Linked DNA regions of Diceros bicornis minor. The protein of the gene in region 4 purifies or fractionates together with the protein of the main gene of each other region. This does not show direct contact. Links are inferred from orthologs where the notes say so. Each region holds a gene or a part of one and is shown on either strand. Other genes may lie near its edges. The genes, in order: AMPD2, PDPK1, CAMKV and SDC2.

Region 1 (7,092 bases), on a different chromosome or scaffold from region 4:
CTACCTCCCAGAGGTTTGAAGTCCTGTCTATAATGGGGTGATAAGCAGGTCGTGCCCTGCGTAGCCACAGCTGCCACAGAGATATGGCTCCACAAGTGTCCTGTAGAATACCACAATCTGCGATTATGAAACTTTCAGGACTCTCCAAACACTTCCCACGTGTAGTCCCACCTATCAGGGAGGGTGGGAGGTTCTCAGGCCCAGCACAGCCAAGGCAACTGAACAATGAAGGGCAGAGAACAGAACTTGGCAGGGATGGAGATGGGGGAATGCTATCTCTTACTTGGAAGAGGGCAGAGCAGGAAGAAGAAGGAAGGATGGGCACCTGCTCCACCCCAAAGGGGTAAGACAGAGCCTAAGGTCCTTGCTTACCCAAGAACCCTGATCCTACACAACTCCTCCCCACTTCTAACCCCCTCCAGCGAAGGCCAACCACAGACCCCCAGGGCTGGTCTGTATCGGGTCAGTGCAAGCAAGCCATAGGCCCTAATCTCAACCCCCTCTCCTAGCAGGGTGGCCCAGGGCCTTGAGGGAGATCAAAAATTGGCTACCCTGAAACATATCTCTTTACCTTGATTATTTTCTCTGACGGACATTTGACCTCCCTCAAATTGCCTAAATAATTTAACATAGAAGGCCTGTTTCAGGAAGGACTTACTATCATATGATGGCTGTAATATAATGTAAAATAGATGTTACAATAGGAAAGACACTAACAAGCCCATCTTATCAAAAATTCTGTCTCTCCCAGGCCACATTCTCTAGGTAGCCCTGCAAAGAGTTGCCAGACAAACATTTACATTTATAAGGGAACTCTCCATTTGTAAAGGTATCTCCCTTTCTGTATTAGGAAGAGGGGGGGATGGCCTTATCTGTGGACACTCTTATCAGTACGGAAGGAGAGGACTTAAATCTACATACTCTTGATTATTGTGATTTCTGTCTCTCCAGCCACATTCTCTATAGGTGGCCCTGTAAAGAACTGTCTGACAAACATTTATATTTCCCTCTCCATGTGAATTGTCTTCTTCCCCTCTGAAATTCCAAACCACTACCCCCAATAACCTCCTTTGTCTTTAGCTGAAGATAGTATTTAAGATGAGAATCTCTGCCATTTTGTTGAGAAACTCAGTTTCCCTGGTTTCTCCCATGTATACATGTTATTAAACTTGGTATTATTTTCTTCTGCTAATCTGTCTTTTAATTATTTGGCCAGCTATAAGAACCTTAAGGGAAAGGGCGGAGGGGGATTCTCCGTCTTCCCCGACAGCCTCCACAGAAATGCTAGGGTGACCAGGACAGGTTCCAGCAGCCAGAGCCATGCCCCCAGCCTGCTGCACTGGACTGCCAGGGTTCACTGGAGGTGACAGACAAGCAGTAACCTCCACACTCCCTGAGGCCAGGCTGCCTGCTGGTCCCTTCTCCCAGGGTCTGTGCCACAGCACCACACACACACATTCACCCAGGAGGAGTCGACCAAAAGCCAGAGAGGGCTACTCCCCAGCCACTCCCACCAACTCCAAGATTCTTGCCACCCCATCTAGCCTCTTGACCAGGAGCCCCCTCACTCACTGCCAGGACTGCCTCAGTAGGCAGAGAGGTGCCCAACGCTTTGACATACATGTATCAGATGCTCCCACCATGTGACCACCCAAAGGTGTACAGATCTAGCCCCAGGGGACACACCCCCTGGATGGCACAGACCTGGGCACAGGAACACAGACCCTCAGGACAGCACAGACCTCAGGCCAGCACCTTCAATGGCATAAGAAAATACAGGAGGTGGATGATCAGGCTATAGATACAGACAGCTGCTGGCAGGGGGAGACTGGCTTGACCTGGTCACCAAAGCATGGGTGGTCTTTCCTTAGCCACAAGGCCTGGGGGCAGCAGAGGGCAGGCAGATATCCCTCGACAAGCACAGACCCAGGCAGCCGAGACCTCAGGGAGATGGCACAGCCGCACCACGCCGCCTGCTCCAAATGGTGCAGAGATGCCTACCAGAGTGGGAGCCGAACCAAAGGGTGCAGGAGCACACGCAGGCGGGCAGCGGCCCCAGCCTGAGCCCCAGCTCAAGCCCAGCCCAAGGACACCCCACACTTCCCAGGAAGCTCACAAGACAGATCAGGAAGGAGCAATCAGCAAACGATAGATACAGTTGAGCCCCCAGCCCTGGGATGCCAGCAGCCATGAGTGTGCCCTAACATCAGACTCCCCCAACCCCCCACCACTGGCAGCCCCAGTGAGTGGCTTCGAGATCTGGGGTCCTAGAAAGAGGAACTAGCTGCAGGAAGACAGCCTGAGTCTGCCTGGGAAAGGCACAGCCGCCAGCAATTTGGCCAGTCCGCAAACCAGTCAGTCCCACACATCCCCCACTCCATTCACACACACTCCACATGCAAACAGTCTTAGCACATCCACACGCTGACACGTGTGCAAACACACCTCTTGCTGCACCCACACCCACTCGTTAGAGGACAGCATCCCCAACAAAAAAACCTGTCACCCTCCACCCCACCTCCCTCCCAGCACCACCTCCCAAGACAGCTGTCCCTGGGACCGAGGACGAGGGGTAACTCTGCAGAGAGCGTGCAGGAGAAGGGGCGCCCCTGGGGGACCAGTGGCCTGGGCGAGAGGTGGTGGGACAGAGCCAGTGCCCGAGGCCAGGACGCACACACTCACCTGGTACTGCAGCGGCGGCCTGCAGGCTGGCCCGCTTCTTAAAGGGATATTTGGCCTTGGATTTGCCGGGGCCAGATGGATAGGATGCCATGGCTCGGGCCGCGGAGACGGCGGGGGTAGTCTGAGCCGCACCAGCGGGGGCCGGCTCTGCCACATCCAACCCCTTCCTCCGCCCCGCCCCCAGCGGGAGTGACTGATGCAGGAAGCAGAGGCCCCGCAGGCGGAAGAGGCCCTGGCCACGATTTCTGATGTTGTCTAGGCAACTCGGAGGAGGGGGGCCTCCATATCCGCCCCTTATCGCTCCCCTCCCTTCCTCGGTCCCTGGAGAGTGACTGACGGAAGCTAGGCCAGGGGAGTGGACGTGAGAAAACAAGATGGGGAAGGGCTAGCCCCTGGCACTCCACTAACCCCCTCGGGTGCCCTCGCCCCTTACCAGGGCTCCGGGGCAAAGGAGTTAAAGTCCAGGCTAGCTGGTCCAGCCAGCCGGGAGAAAAAAAGAATAAAAAATAGAAATCCAGCACGAGCTCCCCCAAGCACAGAACACACTCCTCTCAGGGCAGGCGTACTCCGTAAAAACCCAGCCCCTCTGTGGCAGAGCCCTCTTTTTTCCTTCTCTATCTGATCCCCAGTCCCTGGGGTAGCCCAGATCTGGGAAGATGGGGTAGAACTGAGAATCCTAGCCCAGTAGGGAGGAGCCTGTCTTGGGAAAATTCCACTCTCCGGCAGAAGCTACCTTCTAGGAAGGCAGGGAGGCCAGGAGGCAAGGGCTTCTCCGGGGGTTTGGGAAGGAGACCTCAGCGTCTTGTGACGTTTCCCTCGGTCTTTCCACACTCAGGCAGTGCTCTCCCAGAGCCTCCCCAGGAAGAGCTGGCCGCCTTCCCTAGGTCTGCTGGCTGTGCCGAGACCCCCTCCCTCTTGTCACCCTGGCCACTGTACTTGTCTGCTCCAGAGACAACTCCCGCAATGCACGCGAACACACTCACCTGAGGCCATGCTGCCTGCGCCCCGAGGGGGACCGGGGAGGCTGTCCGCCACGGTCCGCACAGCCGGGAAGCCGGGGTCGCGAGGGAGGGGAGGAGGGCTGGGGCCCCTGCCCTGGCCCTGAGATGGGGAAAGTAAGGCAGTCTTTCAAAAGGGCCAGCTGGCGGGAGGCGGACCCCCGCCGACCTCGGCCGTTGCCCTGGTCTCGGAGATCCGGGAGTCCCGACCCCCAGCCCCGCACTGGAGAGGCGGGCCGGCCACGTGCTCCGCAGAGAGCGGGAGCCGGAACTCGTCTGGGCTTCTCTCCACGCTCTCCGGGTATTCGGGGCCGGACTCCCGTAGCTGGACTGTGGGGCAGTCACGCAACAGGTGCGAGCCCATCCAGACCTCGCCGCCGCCGCCGCGCGTCTCTGCGGCCGCCGGCCCCTCCAAGTCCGAGGCCCCGCCCTGGCCGGCCGGCCCCGCCCCCGCGTTTCCCTTCTTCCCGGCGCCACAGGGACAGCCGCCCCTCCGCGGTCCGCTGGGCCGAGTCTTGGGCAAGTTCTGTACGTCAGCTTCTTCATCAGTAAAATGGAATGGGGTAATCGCGTATCTCACTCAGAGGCGCGATTGTGAGGATTAAACGTTAAGCACCTTTGCCCCGTGCCTGGCACCAAGTCAGCGCCTAATAAGATAGAGCTATTATTACTGTCCCAGGATTCACTTTTAGCCCAAGTCCACCCCAGCATTCTCACTTTCCGTCGTCTGTGTTCTTCTGGCAGGCGTAGATAGGCAGGGTGTGTCCTGCAATTCTGTCTAACCCTTCCCACATTTATTTCTGTATTTGTTGGTTAAAAGCTTAGGCTCTGTATTCTATTCCTGAATTCAGTTCAATTCAGACTCCTCCACCCACTTCCTGACTAACGTTGGGAAAGTTACTTAACTTCTCTGCTTCGATTTCGTCTGTAACGTGAGTGTAAGAGACCCTGCTTTATGTGGTGGTGGTTAGACTTAGATGCGCTAATATAAGTTGAGGGCTTAGAACAGTGCCTGGCCTGTACTTACTACTCAGTTCTCATGTACTGGTCTTGCTATGTCCTCGCCCTTGGTCCCCTATTGACACGCTCACAGGTTGATTCACCTTGCAGCCTGTAAAGAAGTGGAGTTGGCTGCTTTGGGGACTGCAGACAACTCACCCAACCAGACCCCCACTCCCAACTGGCAGAGAATCCCACCTAAAGAGAACTTGTGAGGGCAAGTCCCTAAGACTTCACTAAACATAATTAAGTGTATTAGCAACATTTAGTCTTTTTCTTTTCTCTCCACCTTGTGGGAGCCCTTTGCCCCACACACCCAGTTGTACTAATGCTGTTTGTCTAGCTCCTCCCTGTTCTCACCACCCCCATAGTCAAATTCCTTCCCAAACTCTGCCTCCTCCACTCCTCCCCAGGCTGGATTCTGGACCCTGAACCCTATTCTCTACCTGCATCTGGTGCCACCTCCATTGATCCGTGCCTGCTGTTCCTCACCCTGGACAAACTCAAAAAAACATGGCCTCCATAAACATGGGGGGAAAGTTCACCTCACAAAGAATCAAAAACTAAAAAGTGGAGATACCATGTTTACCCATTAAAATAGCAAAGATTAAGGGAAAAAAGTCCTAATGCAGGCAAGGGTGTAGTTAGTGAGGTGGGACACACACATATACTAGTGGTGGGCATAAACATTGACATAATCTTTCTGAAAGCTGTTTAATAATATATAATCAAGAGTCTTAAAAAGGGTCATATTATTTGACCCAGTAATTCCACTTTCAGGAAATTGTTCTTCTAAAAAGAGCTGCCAGAAAAATATGCACAGTTGTCCATCACTGCAATGTTTATCACATAGAAAGGCTGGAAACGTAAAGATCCAATAATAAGGGAACGTTTAAATTATGTCAGATACGTACAATGAAATATAGCCATTAAAAATTGTTCTTGGAGGGGGCCGGCCTGGTGGCGCAAGCGGTCCGGGGTTCGCAGGTTCGGATCTCAGGGGTTGGCCGGTTGGGATCCCGGGGGCGCACAGGCACACTGCTTGGCAGGCCATGTTGTGGCAGCGTCCAGTGTAAAGTGGAGGAAGATGGGCATGGATGTTGGCCCAGCGCCAGTCTTCCTCAGCAAAAAAGGAGGAGGATTGGCAGATGTTAGCACAGGGCTGATCTCCTCACAAAAAAAAAAAAAGAAAAAAAAAAATTGTTCTTGGAGAATTTCTTAATGAGGTGGAAATGTTTACAGCGTAAAGTTAGGAGAAAAAAATGGATGCAAAAATCTGTACATACATTATGGCCCTAATTATGTGACACACATGCATAGAAAAAAACACATCAAAAAGTTTACAAATGATTTCTGTGAGTGATGAAATTATGGTTATATTTATTTTTTTATACTTATCTTCATTTTAAAAATTATCTACAATGCATATCCATTACTTTTATAATCAAGGGAATAGAAAACAACAAGTCTGTAAAAATCTGTAAGTGCCCCCACACCCCACCTTCAACAGACTGTCCTGGGTCTTAACCTCAGACTAAATTGGTCTTGGGGCCCTTAGTAATTTTGAGGCCATTGGGCTCTCAACAATGAATAATAAAATAAATCTCAAAATTAAAAACCAAGCACCAGGTAACCATGTAGAACATCATCTATATTCTGATAAAATGCAAATTTTGACATAGTTTTAAGGGGTGATATCTTGCATTGGGCCAGGTCTCTTTAGGATTCCCCCTCAATCCAGACCTACCTACTTAACCAGCCCATAGGTGTCAATCCTGCCCTCGACCCTACCCAAGCAAACCAGTTCACTAGTCCTTTCACGCTCCTTCCTCGTTCCATCTGTGACACACGCTTCACCCTGTAACTCTCCCCTATTTCCGGGCCATTTGGCACACTGCTGTCCTTGCTGGGAAGTCTGCCCTGATTACAGCCAGGCATCCATCTCCCCACCCACACACCACCAGCAAGAATCTCAGCGGGGTTTCCTTGTCTATGCAGAACAGAGTTTGGGAAATGAAGGAGTGAGTCATCCCCTAAGGCCTCCAGCTTTTTTCATGTTGGGGCCTTAATATTGTCTTTGAGCCCCTGGGACCTTCCCTCGCTCTAAACATAGCTTCCTCCTCTCCTAGCCTATTCACCAGATAGTTCCTTCAATGGCCCTTCCTGAACCCCGGGCTGCCACTGACGATGCACTCGTTAATTCTCTGAATAACTGCTTCTCTTCACTTCTGGCCTGCAGCTCACTCGTCAGCCTCCCACCTACGCCAGACCCCTCTCTGCAGATAGCGGATTTGAGAGAGAACAACTGCAGCCTCAAAAAGATCCTTGCCCAGGACAATTTCCTGAACCATACCCCCTGCCTAGATCTTTCTAGAACCAAGCTGTTCAGCTCGTTTCTCAGCTTGTCCCAGCA
Region 2 (7,331 bases), on a different chromosome or scaffold from region 4:
GCTGCACATCTTTCTTAGTTGCTGTATGTGCGATGCTGCCTCAGCATGGCCCGACAAGCAGTGCGTCAGTGTGTGCCCAGGATCCAAACCAGGGCCGCCAGTAGCGGAGTGCGCGCACTTAACCACTAAGCCACGGGGCCGGCCCCCCAAGGCCTCTTTTCATGCCCCATGTTTCTGTAGCCTGCTGCTGTGATCCTTACAAAACACATGTCAGAGGAGTAGAACAAACCTACACTTCCACTCCTTACTAGTACAGGGAGCACACCTTGTCAGCTCTGGACTCAGCTCAGTAACTGCCACAAGGGCGTTGTGGGGAGAGAAATACACCATGCTGCACAAGACCACATGAAGAGGAGTTACCCAAAAGGGAGTGTGAAAATCAGAACTCACTTCTTTCCATGTTCTCTGCTTTCCCCACCACCTTCCCTCTGCTTTCCCCACCACCTTCCCGCACGGATGCAGCCATCCTTACAAAAGACAGAGCCGCCCTAGAGTGTGCAGGGAGCCACTCTGCCTAGCTGCCAATTTTACCTTTAACAAAATTGTTGCACAGTTCTTTTTTCCAAAGGGAGGATTTCAAGCCTCACCCATTCAGAACAGCAGCCCTCAAAGAAGGATGAACAGGAGCCTCTTTCCAAACAGCTGCTTTCTGACAGCGTGAGGCTGAAATAGGCTCCAGGGGTCACAGAGTTCAGCCATCTGCCCAAAGAAATAAATAAGCGTGCTGTCCTTCCACGTGAAGATGTCCCTCCTACCTCCAGCATAGCACAGTCAGGACATTCAGGCAAAATCCTCAGGAAGACGTCCTAGGCAGCAGCACCAAGGACTACCTTAGTCCCAGTGCTGCGCTGAGCTGCCCAGGGGACCCTCCCTCAGGGCACTACTCACATGAGGGGCAGGGTGGCACCGGGACCTCTGCCATCGATCAGAAATGGGTTCAAACTCCACTCTATTTACCAAGCAGGTACTTAACCTCTCCGCACCTCAGTTTCCACACCTGTAAATGGGAGCGACACATACCTCACAACACCGTTGACAGAAGTCAAGCAACACCATGTGAGCTCTCTAACAAAATGCCTGTCTTAAAGTAAGTGCTCAATAAATGGTACTCACAGCCCCCGGCCCCCCTTAGTAACAAACTGGGCTAGGCCCTTTTCAGACTTCACAACTCATACTGCTCCCCCCGTTGGCTATACACACTTAAAGAAATGGGAAAATTAATTGGGACACAGCTTCTCATATAGCGTCACCTTAAAAACCTCGATGCAAATTCCCTTGAACCAAGCAAATCTATCTGTCCTTAGGTGAAAATTCCAATATTGGGGGCATCTCTGTGGCTATTGATGGGAAATATGGCATATTCTCACATCTGTACACGTGAGGGAATCTAGCTGATGAAGTCACAAAAGCTAGTTCCTCTCACTTCCTGAAGAAGAGATCTATCCTTTATTCTCTAACTGATCTTTTCTCACCGGATTCCAGTGTTTTTGCACTAAAAAGCTGCTTTCTGCAAAGAAAACTCCAGACATCAAACATCCGTTATGGGGAACGACCAAGACTATGAGAAAATGTGCTCTTTTCCTCTTCCCATGGACACCGTCAAAGTACACACCTCGCCTTGCAACAGCATTACTGTATGAAAGTTCATTCTACAAACCTGCACGATTACTGTCAGCCCCAGCCTCCACTCAGGTTCACCATGCAGCCTAATTTGTGTTTTTGTGTGTTAGTCCAGGCACCCCAGGATACAGTCACACATGTTGCAACAGTCAAAGACATCCCTTTCGCCTTTCACCATTTTTCTCAACTGAACAGGTCCTCCTTCTCTTATACTTCGGATTATCACCCAACTCTACAAAGCAGAGTTCTTAACCTGAAGTCCATGGACCAGCTGCAGAAAGTTCAAGAGCCTCCTGAAGTAATTACAAAATTCGGTGTGATCGTGCGTTTTTCTCAGGAGAGGACTCATACCTTCCATCCGATTCTCAAACGGGCTCATAACCCTCTCACAAAGATTAAGAACTACCACAGAACCATATGCTGGAAAATAGGGATCAAGTAAATTCCTTGGGTCTTCCTTCATTTAAGGGATTTGCCTTTTGAAGCAAATTTTGCAAGTGTCTAGGCATTCTTCCATCACCTACTTCACACTCGCATACAACGTATAATTCCCTAAACCATCTTCCCACGACCCTGAAACTTAACAGAGGAAAAATATTAAAACACTACGAATACTTTTAGCACAAACAGAAAACATATAAACACTAGCGATGCTCTTAGCAAGACCTTTACCCCAACGAGTACCTTTTCCTTCCCCCTTAAAACCCCTCCTCGCTGTCAACCTCACCCGCCCCTCGGTGGTCGGCTCGAGCCCGGCCTCCCAGGGGCGTCCCACCACACTGATGCCCGTGCCTGAGCGGGGCCTCCCGGCAAGAGAAGTACGCAAATACCGCCGCGCAGGAACCGCGAAGGGAGCGTATCAGACTCCATCCCAGCCGCGAACTCGGGGGCCCGGAGCATCAGGTGCTTGGGCGAGAACTCGCGGCTCCCGCTCTGCTGCAGCAAAGGCACGCAGACCCGTTCCCGGTGAAGGCCCCGGCGGTTCTCCACGGACGGAACCACAGGGAACCGGAGGCTCGGCTTCAGACCACACCGAAAACAAACTTTCCGAGCACTTCCACCGCGACGGCCAGTGACACCTCCCCGCTCCCCCGCCCTCCACGCTCTGTCAGCGCCCCCGTCGGGCCGGCGCCGCCGCACCGGCACCCGGGCTCCCCGCGGCGGCCGAGCGGCGCCCCCACGGCGCCCGCGCTCCCCGGCCCGCCGCCCGGCCGCAGGTGAGGCGCCGCCCGGCCCTGGGGACCCCGGGCCGCCCCGCCTCGCCGGGCCCCCGGCAGCCGCCGCGCCCGAGCAGCTGCCGCGCACTCACCAGCTGGCTGGTGGTCCTGGCCATGGGCCCCGCGTCGGCGCGGGCGCCTCCCCCGCGACGCTACACGGCTCGGCGCCTCCTCAGCGTCCTCCTCCCCGCGCCGGAGCCCCAGCAATGGCCGCCCTCATCCTGCGCCCGCCCCGCCGCCCGCCGCCCCCGGCGCCGTCCCGCCCCCGCGCGACGCCAGGCGGGACTTCCGCCGAACTGCCGTCGCCATCCCCGTCCATTGGCCGCGCCCGCCGTCGCTCCGCCGTGGCCCGGGGAGGGCCCGCAGGCGCCTCCGAGCCGCATTTCCGGGTTGGAGCCTGGCAGGCGGGAGCGGCCGGGCCCCGCCTTTGGGGGGGGCCGCACGAGCCAATCCTGGGGCAGTGGGGCGGGGCCGGGCGGGGGAGGGGCGAGCTGTCATCCCGGCTCCCGCGCCGGGAAACTGAGGCTGGCAGGGGCCGGGCCGGCCGAGGTCACGCCAGAGGCAGCGGCGGGGCTGGGCTCTAACTGGTGGCTCGGATTCCAGAGCGGGGCTCTGTGTAAACACGAGACACGCAACTTTACCAGTTACAAAACTAAGACGTGCTCACGGAAGAAAATGTAGGCTCTAAAGTCATTTTTTGTGTATGTGAGGAAAATCAGCACTGAGCTAACATCTGATGCCAATCCTCCTCTTTTTTCTGAGGAAGATTGGCCCTGAGCTAACATCTGTGCCCATCCTCCTCTACTATTACATGGGACGTCGCCACAGCATGGCTCTACAAGCAGCGCGTCGGTGCGCGCCGGGGATCCGAACCGGCTAACTCCAGGCTGCCGAAGCGGAGCGCGCGCACTTAACCGCGTGCGCCACCTGGCAGGCCCCTAAACTCATATTCATACGGCAGAAAACAATCCCATCTCATCACTGCTAACAGTCCCAGGGACACTTTCAGAACCCTCTTCTTTGCCCATAAATTTTTTTTTGTAGTTGTTGATGATGATGATAATGATGTTGAATTTCTTGGTAGTTGTGGTTGATGATGTTATTGTTGGTTTTTTAAATTGTGGTAAAATATACACCTTAACCATTTTAGTGTACAGTTCAATGGCATTAAGTACATTCACGTTGTTGTGCTATGATGATGTTGTTTTAAACAAAATTAGAATCTTTGTTACCTGAAGGTTTGCATATGTTTAAATGTTTTTTCTATTTCCAAAAGAAATTATTTTAAAAAATAATTTAGGCAATATAGAGAAGTAACAATAAGATAAATGAATCCATAATCCCACTGGCCAGTATTAGCCATCCAATAGCAGTGAGGCCACTAACATTCACTCAGTGCTTACTCTCAGCAAGGAACTTGCATGACTAATCTCACTCTAAACAAGCATCTCTCCTATTGTTGCCCCACTTTTCAGATGAGGAAGCTGAGGCACAGCACAGTTCTGTAACTTGTCCTAGGTCTTCTAGTGCCAGAACCAGGATCCTGACACCCACATGCCAGACACTGTGCTTTGACCATTAGACTACACAGCCTGGACAGTTCGTCCAGGCTTCCAGCCCTCTGTACACTTACTTACCTTAAAAAACAATAAAAAGCCCCGTGTAACCCATATCCCCCAGAAGAGCTCATGCTGTTCTGATACCCCGTTTTTCACTTAACAACGTATGGTCCTGCATCCTGTACAGCTCTCCTGATATCTGACTGCCACCTTCCTCCGTTGTGAGGGCTGCAGAGAACTCCACTGGAGGACGCCTATAGTTTATAGATCCACGTATTGTTCAAGCTCCCTCCTAACTGACGCTGAAGTGGTTCCCAGACTTTTTCCTCAGGAACAAGGCCCTGCACTTAAATCCAGGCACACCCTTACTTATTTCCTTAGGATAAATTCTTTGTGTATGTATGTGTGCGTGTGATGAAGATCAGCCCTGAGCTAACATCCATGCCAATCCTCCTCTTTTTGCTAAGACTGGCCCTGAGCTGACATCTATTGCCAAACCTTAGGATAAATTCTTAGCAGATGGAATTCCTGGGTCAAAGTTCAGGTATCCTTCTCAGGACTTCTGATACACGCTACAAATTGCCAACTGCCTGCCCTCTCCAGACACTCTCACCCTTGCAAGACACAAAAATCAAGGTAGATACCAGCTCTGGCTACCATACCAAGCCACCTCCAACATTCAGGAACATTGGGAACATTATCCTACATCGATAACCCCTACTACGCATTGAGAGCAGTAGATCTGATTTCACTGCACAAGAGCCCCATGAACAGTAGGTACCATGACCATTTCCATTTTTCACATGAGGAAACTGAGGCTTCAGGGACTTGCCTACTCTCCGTCATAGAGTTACTAGGTCACAGAGCACAGGACTCAAAACTAGCCCTGACCAACACCAATGCCTTGTTCTTGGCCACTGCACTCAACTACCTCTTAACAACCTTTATTTTATACTTAGTCTTCAAAAAGTAATAATAACTTGTCCTCAGAGAATGCTAGCCAGTCTATATGATTTATCTTACTTAATTCTCATCACAACCTTATGAGATACCCAATATTTATTACCATTTTACATGTGAAGAAATTTGCCAGACTGTACACTAAATACAACTGTAAATATATACATAGCTATAGAGTCTAAAAATATATATCTCACAAGCACCCTTTCTCAGAAAGTTACTGAAGGATGTGCTCCACCACATGAGGAAGAAAACCAAGAAAGATGAAGACATGAGATCCAGCAAACAGGAAGAAACAGAATACACAGAGGGTGATGAAGGCAAGTCCCCAGATTTGTCCATTTGACAAATATACATTGAGGCCCCCTCCATGCGAAGCGCCGTGCTAGACATCAGCAATTCATCGTGAAAAAAACACAAATCTCTGCTCTTGTGGAACTCTGGCGGGGGGGTGAGGCGGAGACGGCAAGCATAATAAATAAGCAAACATTACGGGATGTTAGAAGGTAATAAGTGCTGGGGGGGAGAAAGGAAATCAGGTAAGTGGGGACTCAGAAGTGCCCGGATAACGAGGAGAAATGCCAGGATAAGAACAAGGAGCACACAGACTACCCGGAGCAGGCTTCAGAGGGCTCCAGAAAAATACTGAAAATGATAGATTCTCTAATGGATTTCATCACATGAAAAAAAACTGAATCAAGAAGCTGACAGAGGTGTTGGGAAAACTGGACAGCCACATGCAAAAGAATGAGAGTAGACCATTATCTTTCACCATACACGAAAATTAACTCAAAATGGATCAAAGACTTGAAGGTAAGACCTGAAACCATAAAACTCCTAGAAGAAAATATAGGCAGCACACACCATGACATCAGTCTTAGAAGGATCTTTTCGAATACCATATCTACCCAGGCAAGGGAAACAAAAGAAAAAATAAACAAGTGGGATTTCATCAGACTAAAGAGCTTCTGCAAGGCAAAGGAAACCAGGAACAAAATGAAAAGACAACCCACCAACTGGAAGAAAATATTCACAAATCATATATCGGACAAGGCGTTAATCTCCAAAATATATAAAGAACTCACACAACTCAACAACAAAAAAACAAACAACCCAATCAAAAAATTAGCAGAGGATATGAACAGACATTTTTCCAAAGAAGATATCAGATGGCCAACAGGCACATGAAAAGATGTTCAACATCACTAATTATCAGGGAAATGCAAATCAAAACTACATTGATATCACCTTACAGCCGTTAGAATGGCTATAATCACCAAGACAAAAAATAACAAATGTTGGAGAGGATGTGGAGAAAAGGGAACCCTCATACACTGCTCGTGGGAATGCAAACTGGTACAGCCACTATGGAAAACAGAGACTTCTCAAAAAATTAATAGAAATATCACACAACCCAGATATCCCACTACTGGGTATTTATCCAAAGAACTTGAAATTAACAATTCAAATAGACTTATGCACCCTTATGTTCATTGCAGCATTATTCACAATAGCCAAGATGTGGAAGCAACCCAAGTGCTCATTGACTGATGTTTGGATAAAGAAGATGTGGTGTGTATATATACAATGGAATACTACCCAGCCATAAAAAAAGACAAAATCGTCCCATTCACAACAACATGAATGGACCTTGAGAGTATTACGTTAAGCGAAATAAGCCAGAGAAAGACAAACACTGCATGATTTCACTCATATGTGGAAGATAAACTAACACACGGACAAAGAGAACAGATTAGTGGTTACCAGAGGGGAAGGGTGTTGACGGGGGGGGGGGGGGGGGGGCATAAGGGGTAAAGGGGCACATGTATATAGTGACTGACAAATGATAATGTACATGTGAAATTGCATAATGTTATAAACTATTATCACCTCAATAAAAAATAAAATAAAAGGTAATTTTCCTGGACTTTTAGTCTGCTTTTGATAAAGAGATTATAAAAGGTTTCCTTTAAAA
Region 3 (7,811 bases), on a different chromosome or scaffold from region 4:
GCACGCATCAGCTCTCATCCTGGCAACCTGGCAGCTCCCCCAGGGCCCAGGAGGAGCAGCTTTCCCCGATCACATTCACCACAACTGGCACTGGCTGCAAGGTCTTGCCCATGGCCATGGTGGGCACTGAGCCCCAAGGTCCCCAGTTCAAGCTGACAGCTGAGGACGTTACACAGTCGTCAGTGGTCGCACACCTTGGCCTGTTACACGGGGCCTGCTATGAGCTGGTGTCCACCACAGATGCTCTGCCAGTACGGTCCCCAGTGCTCTGCCGCCACTCATTGGGCCCCTACCAGGACATGGCGGCCGTGGTGATCGACACAGGCACAGGCTTCACCAAATGTGGACTGGCTGGAGAGGACCACATCCTCAGTGTGGTGCCCTCACGTGTCCAGCTGCTGCAGCACCCAGTCCAGGGTCAGCCCAGGTATGCAGTGCCCAAGAACCGAGAGGGCTCCTACTCGGTGCTTAATCGAGGAGTGGTCTCCGACTGGGATGCACTAGAGGTGCTATGGCAGCACCTGTTCCATTGCAGGCTAGGCGTACAGCCTGAGGAGCTGGCTGTGCTTGTGGCTGACTCACCCATCTCACCACGCACCAACCGAGAAAAGGTGGCTGAAATACTCTTCGAGCGTTTCCATGTGCCAGCCATGCAGACAGTGCATCAGGCCCTGCTGGCGCTCTATGCTTATGGGCGCACCACTGGGCTGGTCCTGGGCAGTGGCCATGGCACCTCCTACGTGGCGCCCATCCTCACTGGGGATCTGGCCCCACTTGACACCTACCGGCTTGATGTGGCCGGTGCTGACCTCACTGAATACCTAGCTCAGCTATTGCTGGCAGGTGGCCACTCACCGCCCAAGGCAGTGCTGGTCAACCAGATTAAAGAGGCCTGCTGCTACGTGGCCATGGATATGACAGCTGAGATGGCCCGCACTCAGGCCCAGGCCCGGGTGGAATTCGTGCTTCCAGACAAGCAGGTCATCTCGCTGGGCTCTGAGCGCTTCTGCTGCCCTGAGGCCCTCTTCCAGCCGGATCTGCTAGGCCTCAACCAGCAGGGCCTCCCACAACTAGCCCTCCAAAGCATCAGCCGGCTGGAGGCCAAGCAGCAGGAGCAGCTGCTGGCCAATGTGGTGCTGGACGGTGGCAGCACCCTGGTAAGTGGCTTTCCTGAGCGCCTGAGACAGGAGCTGGGCCCCTGTGCCACTGTGCTGGGCTCTCCCCACCGTGCTGTTGCCGCTTGGCTGGGAGGCTCCATCATGGCGTCCCGGGACTCCTTCCAGAGCCTGTGGCTCAGCCGCCGTGAGTACGAGGAGGAGGGCCCATGGGCCATCTACAAATACCATCTGTGAACACATAAAAGTTCTGGTTCTGCTTACTTTGAACACTGTGGCATGTTTTAGGCATAGGGTAGTGCGGGGAAGGGCAGAGGTCCAGGTATGGGGTCAGGGATGGGGACCTTGGCACTCCCAAGGCAAACCCTGCCTCTGCACACTACAACTCCATGGGCCCTGGCAATCCTATCCTTTCCAGAGAGCCCCAAGCCCCTTGGCTGGCATTGGCTCTGGTCTAGCCTGACCTTTACTGCAACTCAAGGGCGAACACAGAGAGTGGCTGCTGTGGGTTTTGCCCCGTTGCCCTGGTGACAAGTGCAATTACCCTTGATTGCCAGCTGGTTGCCATGGCAATTTCAAACATAATGTAATAACCCACATAGCCTGGAGTGAGTCATGAAGGGGGAACAGCCCCCTCCTCTAGCTCCAGAGGAGAAGATTGCTTGCCCTCCTCCATCTTGGTCCCTCTACAGGGGGCTAAGGCCAGCAACATGGACAACAGCCAAAAAATTCCAAAGATGGCTGGGGGCCTGCAGCATTTGTTGCCCCCAAAGGAGGGTCCCTGTCAGTCTGGACTTCTTGGGGGAGCTGGCCTAGTAATGCAGGTACCTCCTAAAGTCAACTTTGGCTGGAGCTCTCTGCTGGGTTGGCAGGGGCTTCCGTTGGCCAGTCAGAATAGGAAGGTATGAGAGTGCTGGCCTTTGGTGCCCTGGGGCAGGAAGTTGGGGTAGGGGGGCAAATAAGTCCTAGATCCTGGATGGGAGGTACAACTTGAGCTGGGGGATGATGCCCTGGCCTGCTTTGTAGGCTCTGTGGATACAGAAGCTCACAACTTATCCTGCCTCTCTGACTGTCTAGTTCTGGAGAGAGTCAGAACTGTCAACTTTGGGCTCCCTTCTCTTCCTCAGCCTCTCAAGTCAGGCAGCCCCTGCCCACAGGGTGGCCAGGGTACAGCCCTCCTCAGAAGATCCTCATGGAGGCTACCAGGCAATGTCAATGCCAACTGCCCCTGTCTTGTTCCAAACTCTTCCATGCGCTAAAGGGCCTCCTGCTCTCCCTCTGGCCAGGAAGGTGGCTAGAAGCCATGGCCTCTGACCTTGTTTGGCTCTGAATAGTGGGGGTAGAAATTAAGCTCCGTGTCAGCCCAGTCCATGGTGTGGAAGAGCTAAGAGGATGGCATTCAGCTGGTGTTGCTACTTTCTGCCCAGTGGGCAGCTGGAGACTGAAGCCAAGACAGTAAAGCCCTACCCTGCCTGTGCCTCTCTGGTTGGGGGCTGAAGGACAAGCCATAACCCCGTCCCAACCCTGGGTCCTCGTCTTTAGGTTACCCTCTCCACAAAGGGCAAAGACCTGCCCACCCCCACACATGCCTGAAAGTGAGGGGCTCCCCTAGGTGGACAGACTAAAACAGCCAACGATGTAGGGTCATCACAGCCCCTTTCCAGCCCTGGGCATGGTTCAATCTCTTCCCATGTCCTGCTCTCACACTGCAATTCAGCCTCCATAATCCTGAGGCCTGTGTCAGGCGAGAAGGAGACCGGTGGCTCCAGGGACCAATGGCTCCAGGGACTAGCTACAGTGTCTATGCGCATGTGTGAGCGAGCATGCTTGGGTACACACAGAATGCAGACACACATGCCCCTGGGCACCACAATACACACTGTGCTGTTGTCATCTCCTTCAGCATAACAGCGCACACACACATAGACACATTCACACGTGTGAACACACAACTCTGCCACGTGCTCTCACCCACAGGCACACGGAGTGTGCACAGGACCAAGAAGAGGTAGAGCATTGCCAGCAGCAGGCAGGGCTCTAGTGAGCCGCCTCTTCCCTTGCCTCTAAATCCCCCATTTCAGCTTCTCCTTGGCCCAGCTGCTCCACGCCTGGATAGCCATGACCTTTAGGAAAGACAGAAAACGTGTGTGACATGTGTGGGGTCAGCAAGCCATGGCTCAGCTGGACCATACAACTCAGAGAACCATTGTTTCAAGGACAGTGGACAGACAGCAGAAACGACTGAGTGCCAGACCATTCATTCATTCTGCAGACATGAACTGAGCATACTGAGATGAGACACAGGCTCTGCCCTGCAGATGCCCAGCTTACCAGGAGATTCCTACCCAGTGGTAGAGTTGGTGCCATGACTGAGACCACCCAGAGTCCAGGGAACCTAGAGTTGGCACCAGTCTGGACTGGAAGAGGTGATTCAAAGCCAGGGGAGGATGTAAATGGCTCCTTGACACCCCCTCTGGAGGAAGATATTGAGGGGCCTTGTTTGAGCAGTCATTTCCCAGGATAGCCTTCCAGCCCCAGCGCCAACTTCCTCACTTGGGCAGTCAGTTCTGTCAGTAACCATGGGGAGCCACGCAGGGGAGACTCACTCAATGTGGCCAAGGGTTTGGAGATGACTCTACACAGGATGGGGTCAGAAGGCTCACTGGGAGGGTTTGGTGGGGCGGAGTCCAGCTCCTCGCACCAAGAAGCTTAAGTCTGGCCTTCAGATACTGGCCTTAGGGCTTGTGACAAGGGCAGAGCAAGCATTGAGCCCATATGCCTCCCTGACAGGGGACAGAGCAATGGCCAAGGACTTCCTTCAGAGCTTCTTCCTGGCAGTTCTCAGCCCCCTCCAGTGAGGGACCAGGTCTGGTAGGCCACCTTGGTGCTGCAGTTCTCCTGTATCCCCATATCCCAGGCCAGGCCACCGATGGTGATGCTGCTCTTGAAGTGTTTGAAGGTGATTAAACCGGGAAGAAAGCAGAGTCCACACCATGTCATAGGTGACTTTTACAGTTTGGGAAATTCAGTGCCACACAGGAGGAGGTAGACTCTGCTAGCTGCCTGGCTGGCACCTAGGGATGGGAAAGGCTTTGGCCTGCAGGAGTGGAGGGTGGAGTGGGTTTTGAAGACTCTGCCACCATGGTCTGGGGCCCTCACTGACCACTTGCACATGCACACACACAACCACGTGTTTACTTACTCCTAGCTAAGGGATGCCAGTCTAGTGCCGCTTGCCCTAGTGACTGCCCACGTGGTTCTTTTAAGTAGCTTCTGCCCTTTGGGTCAGGTTTTGGGAGCTGGGCAGAGAGCTGGTCCCGCGGGGACTACTACTTGCCAAGAGACTGCTCTTTAGCTCCAGGACTCAGGCTTTCCCCACACCTCCTACTCCCCACCCCCTACAATGGCCATAGGAAGGCCCCTCCGGCCCCTGTTGCCCGGTCAGTCTGAGGGCGTAAGGGAGCCTTTGAGTGCCTGGCCGGGCCGATCAGGCCAGTGCTCACCGACACACCTTCCACCTCTCCTCCGCCCACCTTCGAGCGGGATTCCAGCCCCAGGCTCCACCAGGGGCGGGGCGGGGCCGGCTGAGGGAGGCCCCGCCCCCAGCCCGCCCCCGGCCCGGGGTGCGAATCCGGTGCCGATGAGCGGCGGGAGATGCTGGAGGTTCGCGAGCCGAAGCGGCTGCAGCTGGCGCCGCGTCTGCCCCGCGTGCCCGGAGTGGATTCTGCCCGCCGCCCCCGGAGCCCTCGGCGCCCCACTGAACCCGCGATCGATCGCTTCCTCCCTGTTACCGACCGGCGCTGCAGGTGCGGGGCGGGCCGGGCCGGGGGCGGGTGCCCCTTGAAGGCACGTTTTGGGGGTCTTGGGGGGATTGGGTCTCTGGCTCAAGGTTCGGGTCGCCGAGTGCCGCGAGGGCTCGGGGTCTCGGCGGGGGCCGAGCACGCGTGCTATGTAGATCCGGGGGTCGGCGGGCGGGGTTGGGCTAAAGTTCCTCGTCACCCCGGACCACTCGGTGGTCCCAGAGAAAGCCTCTGAGACTCAAGTCCAGGCGAATCTCCCCTCCCTGCCCGCCCCCCCCCCTCGCTTTCTCGCTGGGCTCCTAATTGTGAAAATATTAACCCTCGAACATTCGTGGTACCCCATGGGGGTAGGGGCTGAGAGCTGAGCCGTCCCTCCTGACTCCCAGAGCCGCCTCCAGCCCCTCCCAACTGCCCCCGGGCCCCCTCCCTCCCTCTTGGCAGTCACTAATTTCCATGACAACGGAGAGTTCTTTATGGGCGACAACCTGAAGGGGGCTGGGCGGGGCTGCCGCGGGGTGGGGGAGGAGGCTCCAAGCCCCTGGGGACCAGCGGCCCCCTAGCCAAGATCCAGCTTCCAAGCCGTAATGTGGGGGCCAGCTGGGGGTCCAGGGCACCGACCCAACGCTGCGCGATGTGGGTGGGGGACCCACATGTTTCTGCTGGGAGGTGCGGGGCTTGGTGCTCACACGTGTGCCTCCCGCATGTGTGTTGCTGTGCCAGCGGGGGCGAGTCAGCAGCACTGGAGAAGGGGGTCAGGGTGGCACCACGGTGGGGAGCAAAGCCCTTGGCTGGGGGTGGTGGACAATGAACAGAGTTTCTGCCCTCCCCAGCCTGCAGTGTCTACCAGAGACCCTGGGTTCTCCGAGCCCCCCATAGCTCCGCCAAACTGCTTTTGTCTGCACCCCTTAGGCAAAGCATACTCCACCAGATTCCCTCCTAGGGAGCAGGGCTCTCTGTCCCTCACCAAGAGCTCAGTCTGCAGCAGTCCCGCCTGGCACCCTCCTCCAAAGCCTAGGCTTTGAGCTCCGTAGGACCACCTGTGGAGAGCCCCCCACTCCCACCCCCAGTTGATTCCTGTCAGCTTTAGCCACTTGCTGGGCCCCAGTTTTCTCAACTGGGAAATGAGTGTCTCCACTCCTCTCAGTGTCAGCCTGGGCCCTGGGGTGGAGCAGAGGTCTCTCACCCTTTCTTTTACAGCATTTGGTGTGGACTCCCCAGGTGCCATAGGCTGCCGTTCCCCTATCTGCTGCTGGCCCTCCTCTCCAGCCTGTGCCCTGGCCACCACTGTCTAGCAGTCCTTGCCCTGGCCGGGAGAAGGCTACAGAGTCCATGATCTCTGTCCAGGGAAACTGAGGCATGGGGGCCAGGTGCTGTGCAGTTGTTATCCTGTTTCTGGGTTGCTTGGGTGCTGTTTCTGGTCCTCCTAACAGGGTCCATTGTTGGGGAGGAGAATGGCAGTGGCAGGGAATGAGGCTGAGCTGCAAGAAGGGCCCTGGGGACCCAAGGCCTAGAGAGGACAGCAGATGGGGGGGTGGGGGGTGTGCACGTGCCTGGGGAGTCTAGGTAGGGCTGGGCCAGCTGAGAGGAGGGGCTGTAAAGGGAAGCGAGGTCTCCAAACTTCATTTCCACAGCACCCCCCCCTCCGCCCCGTGCTTATGCCTGCGACATGTTGGACCTGCATTACCTAAGCTGCCGTGATGACAGGGAGAGGGGCTGAGGAACTGTTCTGGCTGAGGGGACTGCAACAGCGGCCTCTTCCCCAAGGCTACGGCTGTGCCTCTCACACCAAGTCCAGTGCATGTCTGGGGGATACAGGAGGGTTCAGTCTCAGAGGTCCAGGCACCAGGGACAGCTCCTGGCCCAGGTGTTCAGAACACATGGCCATGGAGAGCTTAGGGCTCTGCTGCACACCCTTAGGCCCCTTCAGAACCCCCTGCCCTTCTCCTTCTGTGTCTTTATGCCTGTGTCCCTTTTACTCTGTTGCCTCTTTGCTCCTCTTTCATCGCAGCTTCTGCCTTTGTCTTCCTGTGTCCCTGGCCCTCTCTCTCTTTTCTAAAATCTCTGGGTTTCCCCACCTCTCCTTTCTTGATGGGGACCAGGGTCACAGAACCCATGGGGAAGGAGCCGGGCCAAAGTCTCAGGGAATTCTTGGAGAAGGGATTTGGTCAATGCCTGCCGCCTGCCCCCCCCCCCCCCCCCCCCCCCCGCTGCCCCGTCCCCCTGCCGTTTTAAAAACTTCCATCACCATAGCAACTCTTTACTCTGGGGCCTTCCCCTGCATTTCCTCTCCTACACCCACAGGGAATCAGGGCCCCCAGTGGATTTTCCTTCAGGGGTTCAAAGATTGGGACCCCAGGTGCCTGGAAGTGGCCAGTTGGCTCTTGGCTCTGCCTGAATGCTGAGGCCTGAATGCTGAACTTGCTGGAGGTAGCACTCTACTGTGTGCCCACCCCCAAGACTGGAGAGGCCCTCCTCTTCATGCTCCCTCATTAGATAGGAGAGAGTCCCCGCAGCAGGAACGATGGACTGTGATGTAACCAGAGCCTGAGGCCCAGCCAGGGTAACCCCCTGCCCAGTTCCCTGAAGCAGTTGGATGGTGGGCTAGAAGCTTGGTTCTGCTTCCTGACACTAGACCCTGAGAGTGAGGTCTCTATTTCTCCCAGTCCTGTAGGTGAGGCCTCAGCTATGGGCCAGGCAGGGCTTGGGCCTATGTATGTCTGTTGCAGTGGGAAACCCAGCCCCATTCTCGGAGAGAAGAGAGGATGGAAGGGGAGGGGGTGCCTGCAGCCTGGTGTTCATAGCTGCCACTAAATCGGGAGGTGTTGCCCACAGTTGTTGGGAGATAGCTGGAGGCCTCCTGGGCCCCTCGTGACCTCCCTAGATTTACTGCAAGTTC
Region 4 (7,570 bases):
TCTCTAGAGCCCATAAAGGAAGGGCCACGGGTTCCTTTTCACAGATAGCTTTGAGCCTTAGTTCCTGAGAACCTTTTTTTTTTCCTGGAGCTTAGTATAAAACTCAAGAATTCACTGACTGGAGACATTTTTCCTTTCTTCCTTTTAAAAAGAGGCTTTAAACTCAGACAATCACTATTTCTGACTCCCAGGAAACAGTTGCAGTTTTCAAATTAAAATGTGAAGTACTGGAAATAATGTACTATAATGGCTAAATGTTGAAAAATTAAGTCTTTCAACTTTGCATAAATTTATGCTGCTATACATGAAACAGAGACTGAAAAGTAACTTAAATGGACTATTAGACATCCTGGGCTTTGAAACAGCTTCTATTGAGAAAGACTGACTCATTGCTTAACAAAGACTCTGCTCGAGTCTCCAAGTTGACATTTTAAAAATATCTAATCACCTTTTTGGATGATATTCCAATTACTGAAAACAGTATCTACCACAGTGAAGCAGCTCACTGGGGGAAACAGCCAATTTTGGTTGGAAATGAGAAATATTAAAGCCCTCAAGACACTGAGTTCAGAGGAAAGTTGTCACGGGGAGGACAGGTACAATTCAGCCAAAAAGCTGCCTTAAGGAGCGCTGTCGGATTTCCACAAAAACCCAAAGAGGCAGAAGATAGAGATACGCTTTCTCTAGCATCCCCAAACAGTAATATTTCTTAGCAAATCCCTGAACAGGACTCAGCAAAAGGACCTCCTGTACAGCTTTTTTAGGCAGGCTTCTCTTCAAAACCTTGAGATGGAGTTCTCCCTTTGCCCTGCTTTACAACAAGATGAGCAATAATGTTTTTCTGAAACATTATTTCAGAACCATCTCCCCCTTTTTTTGTACAACGAGCCAAAGTTCATAACTGACTGGGAGATTACCAATCCCAACGGATTACATGATCATTTGCCGAGGAGAAATACCGATAAGGCTCGGAGTTCTGTTTTACAGCCTAAGCACCCAAATACTCATCTACTCTGTCCAGTTTACAATTCTGCGTGCTCTCCAATCGCGGGTAACGTTTGGGGATGTGCCGGCACACAGAGGCTCCCACACTGATGAAAATACCCATCTGCTGCTCAGTGCCAAAGAGGTTTCCCAATCCTAAATCGCATCAACTCAAAAAATAAAGGGAGAAGGGAGAAAGGCGAGGTGGAAAATTTCACAAAACCACCTCTAAGGTGACATGACGTGTCTTCAATGAGATAGTTCAGTTATTTAGAAATGGAGACGTTATCAGGCGGCCAAGGGAGGAGATATGGGGAACGAGGAGGGACAGAAACAGCTGCCCTTCATAACCGGGGCCCCAGACGGCACTGAGGCTGCGGGCTGACCAGTGAGGGGCTTCCACCCAGCCGGACAAAGCTCGGGGTGCCCAGGTAGGGGCCGCCACCGACAAGGAGAAGCCCAGGAGGCAGTTCCCTTCAGAGGGCGCTCATTGGGCGATGTAGGGAAACACGCTCCAAACAGGACCCAAAGGAGGAGAAACCAAGTTCCCACAGCCCGGGCCGCGGAGGAAGGCTGGGTGCCGGCAGCCGGCCGCCGCCGGAGAAGAGACTCCTCCGGGCCTCGGATGCACTCCCGCCTGGGCCCGCGAGGGCGAGGGTGGCGGGCTGGAAGCCTCGGTCCCCGAGCGGCCAGGCGACCCGAGGCCAAGCGCAGTGTCACACGCACCCCGCCTCGCCCCGCATGCTGCACTCCAGAGCAATCCGTAGTAAAATGTCCTCCTGCCCCTAAGGGCCCGCGGCCGCCCTCCGCGCCTCCAGGAGGAGGGGGTCGCCGTAGCGCTGGGATTCCAGCGGCCGGCGCCCCAGCATTTTCCGTCGCGTTCCGCGCACCCCCCGCGGGACCGCGGACTGCGCCTCGGCGAGTAGCGTTTCCACGTAGTGTCTGCTACCTCGCCCCAGCCACGGGGAACATCAAACAAAAGAACTTTTGCAAACTTTCCTCTCCGGGCACTCTCGGGTTTCTTAAATCTGGGCCCCATCTCCCCAGCACTTGCATTCAATCCATTATAAGCTGGCGTGGGGGAATGGTGTGCGGAGGGAGGGACCCCCAAGTTTCCAGGTTGCTCCTGGGTCTTGGGGAGCGCGCAGGGTGCACCCCTTTCCTCGAAGGCCCTACCCGGGCTCCCGTCTCCGGCCACCGTTTCCCTCGGTCCTTCCCGGGCCAGGCAACAAGACCCTTCCGAGGGTGAAGAAGTTGGGAGTGACTTCAGGGGCCTCTGCGGTTAGACAAAACGGCGATTCTCGCGCCCTCATCCCCGGGGACTTCGGGGCAACTCCAGCGAGCGGCGCTTTTCTGCGGGAAGGGAAGGGGAAAAGGGGTGGAAGAGCGAGTGCGTTTGTCCCAGCAGATCCCGGGGGCCGAACGCCGCGTCTGGGGGTGGGGAGGTGGACTCCCCCAGGTGGCGCTCCCTGATTCCCCAAGGGCGCTGCAGACTCCGCTCGGCCTCGAGCACCCTAAACGGCGCGCGTGTCCCCCGCCTGGCTCACTCACCGACTCCGCCGACACGCAGGCCATCAAGCCCAAGGTGAACAGGATCCAAGCGCGCCGCATATTCCCCGGGGACCGGCTGCTCCCAGCCGACGCTTGCAACCAGGGCGAAACGAAGCCTCTTGCCCAGCGCCAGGCGCAGCCGCGCAGACAAATCCGGACCACACCAGCTGCAGCGACCGCAGCTCGGGCTCGGGGGCTCGAGCTCCGGACTCGGGGCGCTCGCTTGCTCCTCCTGCGCCTGCTCCCGCCGCCCGCGGCTGCGCCCCGGAACGCGGCTCCTTCTCACTTGTTGGTTTCTGCACTCCCGACGCTGAGGTGTCGCTCCCGGGCGGCTGCTCTCTGGAGCTCTTCTTGCTCGTGTTTTACTCCTCCGCGGACTCCTTCCCTGTGTCGCGGCTCAGTTTCTGATTCTGAGGAATAAATTAGATGGCTTGGAATGTAGCTGCAGATGAAGTTTGGGGGCAGAGCGGTGGGGGCGCGCAGTCGGCGCGGCTGGAGCTCCCGGAGTATCTGGAGGGAAGCGCGTCCGAGCGGGGCTGGTGGCTCAGCGGCTGCGCCCCTCCTCCTCTCGCGCGGCCGCCTCCCACCCCGGGTCCTCCTCCTCCTCCTCCTCCTCCTCTTCCTCTTCTCCTCCCGCTCCCTCCCTCCCTCCGTAGCCTGCTTCTCCGAGCTCCTCCGGGCGTCTGGGGGAGAGGAGGCGGCAGTGTGACTCCCAGCCAAACCTGGGAGAAATTCCTACAGGATTACGCCCCGATTGGCAGCTCCGGGGACCAGTGGGCGCCGGCGGCTCTGCGCTGTGGCCGCTCTAGGTCGGCTCGTCCGCAATCAATGCTCCGGGGCTCCAGGCGCCTTCCTTTTCTCGCTCCGTTTTTCCCTTCCTCCTCTCCCCACTTTTCCTCTCTCCTCCTCCGTGCTCTTTTCTTCTCTATTCTCTTCTCTTCACTTTCACTTTCTGGAGAAAGATCGTTGAAGCAACGAGAGACATAATTAGCTGGATATTTGCCTGCGAGAATTAGACCAGTAGAAAGAAACTGCTTTGAGAGTTGGAGAAAAACACACAAAGTTTACGGATGCCTTCAAGCAATGTATTCATAAATCGCCAGTTGATGAAAACTGTATTTTAAAAGAGAAGACAATAAATGTAATAAACGTGTATTAAGAGTATTTCCCACCCTCCCGAAAAGGGGAAGTGGAGGAAAACCCCGTAAACCCAAAATACAACACTTTCAAAGCTCATAGTTTCATTAAGAGCTTAAATACCATTTCTGCCTCACACACAGTTTAAGCCCCTAAGGCATTTTATAGGCTCCATTTCAGCATAGAGGTGTTAACATTCGGAAGCTACAAATAGGGCAATTTGGTGAGAAATTGGATAGAGACCCAGAATAATAACAGATTTAAGAGAACTTCAAAGAAAAGAGGAATAAAGTGATTTCTAATTTGAAGAAAATAATGAGCATGTATTTCCTGAATGGAAGTAATTGATCTGAAATATTTTGTTATGAAATTTTTTTTTCAATTCTGTGTCTGTGGTATACTACAGCTGATGACAAATGCATATTCCCTTCCAGTTTCTAACACTGTTTTTCTCTCTGACTTATGGAGTAAATGAGTTACGGAGCCATTCTGCTCCTAGAATGCCTACTGCAGGAGACCAGGGAACTTTCTGTCTTGTTCACCACTGTGTATTCTCATTCCTGATATGTAAAGACACACAATAGTTCTTGAGTAAATTTTGATCCAAAACTCAAATCTCTACTGCATAAGAGCTGTGAGCCTTTAAGATACATAGATGTAGATATGTAGATAGTACACCATGGTAATTTTTAACTTAGTATTAGAATAAAATACAGTAGTACTCTAAGTGAGAATAACAATGTCTTAGTAACCTTTCACTGTAATAAATCTCAAAGAAAGACATTTTAGAGAACTGGAGAGTTACAACTCAAAGTCGGAGACATCCAGCTCTTTGCTTTTGAGTGCCAACTACAAGCTCTCTTTGGGCAAATCTAAGGCACTGGCGGCCAAAAAGACAATGTGGGGAAATAGAAGAGAGAGCAGAGGAGGAAGAAAAGAAGAAAAAGATCAGGAGGCTGGAAGTTGTATCATCTGATGCTTCCCATTCCACAGAAACTGAGCTGGCGCCTGTGGGTCTATGTGGGCCCAGCTTGGTTTTTGGAAGAATGAACTATGGCCGTATTTTTAAGATGGATTCTCTGGGGGTTGAAGAATTTCATGAGATGGGGAGACTTATGAAAAGAGGTTCCAAAAAAATGAGCAATGTGAGAGAAATGCAAAGAGCCATAAAATGTCACCTCTACCCTCAGAAGAGACCTCTAGTCTGCTCTCCAGCCTTCAGGCAAGGCCACAGCCCTTTTTCCCCCAACACTTAAGAATCCATCAAAGAAATTAGAATTCCAGCAAAAGGGGAAAATGCACCCATTCGCTGGCTCTCACAGATATTGCTGTTATTGGAGCATCTGCCTAACAAGAAGTATGGTGGCTGCTCTCTGGTTCGGCTGGGGCAAACAGTGATAAAAATGAATAAGCAGATGCAGGTGTTGAAGGACTGTATCTGTCCGTGCCCTTGAAGACATACCGCAAGGCTCTCGGCGGTTATGAGTCTCACAGTGACTTGTTTTTTATAAACGGTCGTGCAGCATTGAGGGTATATGTGACAAGGGAATGGTACCATTTTGAGAATCACACAATATCAGGTATATGATAACAAATAAATATTCAAGATCTTACGATCAAATGCATTAACAGGTGTAGCCAAAAGGATAGTCTGAAGGTATAAAAAGCACTAATAGTGAAAGCACCTACACAAGAGCTAGCTACACAAAAGCTGCCTATGCTGAGTGGGGGTGAGGGTAGGGGCCAGGGGCTGTCTGCCGGTGTGAGGAACATGTCTAAACTTGGAAATGACGGAGGTCTGTGTCTTAGTCACTTTGGGCTGCTGTAAGAAAAATATAATAGACTGAGTGGCTTACAAACAACAAAAATTTATTTCTCACTGGGAAGTCCAAGATGAAGGTGCCAGCAGATTCGATGTCCGGTGAGAGCCGGCTTCCTAGTTCATAGATGACTGTCTTTTCTCTGTGTCCTCACGTAGTGGAAGGGGTGAGGGAAGTCTCTGGAGCCTCTTTTATAAGGGCACTAGTCCCCTAAATGAGGACTCTGCTCTCCTGACCTAAGCACCTCTCAAAGGCCCCATCATCACCTTGGAGATTAGGATTTCAACATATGTATTTTGGAGGAGACACAAACATTCAGTCTATAGCAGCCTATTTGTGTGTGTTGCTAATGGGGATTTTGTTTTTTTATCTGAGGACTAAAATTCAGTAGAATTTTGTGGAGTATATCTAATATATTAAGTATAGCATGCTACTAGAGCTAAAGGCTACTCCCTAATACATATGTGATGTCATGTCCTCCATTTAAGGGCTGCGCTTTGAGAGGCACAGCAAATAAAATAGCAAAACCAATCACTTCCCAAATAGCTTCACTGATTGCTAAAAGAATAAACACCCTACCTCAAGAACCTCAGGAGAAAATATAAAAAATGAACAATATGGAGACTGAGCTGCAGAAATGTAAAAAACAGGAATTAAAGGGAACCAGATGAAATGATAGAAATGAAAGCTACTAGCGACATATTTTTTAACCTAAGCTGACACATTGGACTCTGTCATTATGACATCTAATGATATCACATTATAACTGTGGACAAGCAGGTGCCGTGTCCCAAGGTGAGCTGTCAGAGTGGGAAACGTCAAAGGGAGGAAGATGCCACTTTGTTGTTCTCGGTTGTTCTTCCACTCGCCCTTCCTTGGACTGTTATCAGGAGTCTAGGCTAGAAATCCATTTGGTAGGATCAGCCCTGACTAAATTCACTTGAAAGATGATAGAACCGGAGAATAAGAGGAAATCCAGCCAGCCAACTATTAATTACCCATGCTAATAATGGCAAGTGAGCTGAAGCCATGACGGAAATCTACAGGCAATTCAAAAAATCTCTTCTTAGCTTCAGTCTTTCCACTGTTCTCTCCATTTGCCTCTGTCAACCCTTTGCCAGGGAATTTGGCTAATTTGAGTTTCATGATTTGATTCGGTGCTAATGTTGAACAAAATTGTCACATTTTGGGGAGCAGGACACAGGCAGGAAAGTCAAAGAATTGTATAATACATAAATTATCCCCTGAATAAAACAGTAGGCAAAACACTCTTGTCTGTTTCCCTAACAGAGTGGTATGGTTCTTGAAAGACTGGTAAAACTGGACATTTTTTCATTCAATAAGCATATATGGATCACTTGCCATGTGCCAGGTACTCATTGGGTAAGCACATGAATTTTCTTGAAAGGTGTTAGAGTTAACACGTTTTAAAATTGAGTTGTCCTCAAATCACAAAGTCTATGACCAGGGTACATGACAAATTTCATCCTAAAATCAGATATGAAATTTTAAAGAAAACATTGTTTATAGAATTATATCATTCTTAGGCATCAAAGAACATTTTCCTAAGAGCCATACTTGGATATATGAATTTAGAAAGGTTCCATAAAGGTATCTTCGAAGTATTTGCATTGCATTTGCATATATCCAGTTGGACAGGAAAATCTAATCTTGGCTGATTTTATGTAAAATGGTACTACTCTTGTTAGTACACTCTGTAGACTATTACTTTAATGGCAGCCAGCCCTACCTCATTCACTGTTATTAGAGTTCCATCCTCTCTAGGATGGCACCCCACATACTATATGCTAGAAGGGGAGCCCTACATGCTGTATACTAAATGATCCCATACCTCCTTGCTCACAATTATGGATGGATGTGGGGGGAGGCAATTTATTAGTGGGCCAGTAGCCAATCATATTCACCCTGTAGATCATTTACATCAAGGAATTCAGAGTCTAACTCGATTGTACATTGGCCTGGGAGTCATCCAAAACTAGCGAGGGGTCCTTGTGTGCTGAAACAGAAAAGGCTGCTCTACAGTGGAAGAATAAAGCAGGGCAACAGACAGAAGCAGA

Evidence for each region.
Region 1: the proteins of SDC2 (region 4) and AMPD2 purify together in Homo sapiens (co-immunoprecipitation; 3 studies listed by BioGRID and IntAct, counting the BioPlex papers as one, with this or other methods). This does not show direct contact. The link is inferred for Diceros bicornis minor from reciprocal best matches to the Homo sapiens genes SDC2 and AMPD2.
Region 2: the proteins of SDC2 (region 4) and PDPK1 purify together in Homo sapiens (affinity purification with mass spectrometry; 4 studies listed by BioGRID and IntAct, counting the BioPlex papers as one, with this or other methods). This does not show direct contact. The link is inferred for Diceros bicornis minor from reciprocal best matches to the Homo sapiens genes SDC2 and PDPK1.
Region 3: the proteins of SDC2 (region 4) and CAMKV purify together in Homo sapiens (affinity purification with mass spectrometry; 3 studies listed by BioGRID and IntAct, counting the BioPlex papers as one, with this or other methods). This does not show direct contact. The link is inferred for Diceros bicornis minor from reciprocal best matches to the Homo sapiens genes SDC2 and CAMKV.

Annotation. Positions count from the first base shown.
Region 1 is NC_080743.1:42,649,669-42,656,760, reverse strand, and holds the start of AMPD2 (AMP deaminase 2), read right to left. Parts: upstream 3,047-7,092; 5' UTR 2,839-3,046; coding exon of another isoform or gene 2,774-2,838; coding exon 2,683-2,773; intron 1-2,682. UniProt on the Homo sapiens protein: AMP deaminase plays a critical role in energy metabolism. Catalyzes the deamination of AMP to IMP and plays an important role in the purine nucleotide cycle.
Region 2 is NC_080765.1:45,881,475-45,888,805, forward strand, and holds the start of PDPK1 (3-phosphoinositide-dependent protein kinase 1), read right to left. Parts: upstream 3,008-7,331; 5' UTR 2,954-3,007; coding exon of another isoform or gene 2,930-2,953; intron 2,200-2,929; 5' UTR 1,649-2,199; coding exon 1,613-1,648; intron 1,605-1,612; exon of another isoform or gene 889-1,604; intron 1-888. UniProt on the Homo sapiens protein: Serine/threonine kinase which acts as a master kinase, phosphorylating and activating a subgroup of the AGC family of protein kinases.
Region 3 is NC_080741.1:50,982,768-50,990,578, reverse strand, and holds the start of CAMKV (caM kinase-like vesicle-associated protein), read left to right. Parts: upstream 1-4,784; 5' UTR 4,785-4,921; intron 4,922-7,811. Other genes in the region: uncharacterized protein LOC131411027, read left to right, coding at 1-1,352. UniProt on the Homo sapiens protein: Does not appear to have detectable kinase activity.
Region 4 is NC_080760.1:15,623,750-15,631,319, reverse strand, and holds the start of SDC2 (syndecan-2), read right to left. Parts: upstream 3,014-7,570; 5' UTR 2,596-3,013; coding exon 2,536-2,595; intron 1-2,535. UniProt on the Homo sapiens protein: Cell surface proteoglycan which regulates dendritic arbor morphogenesis.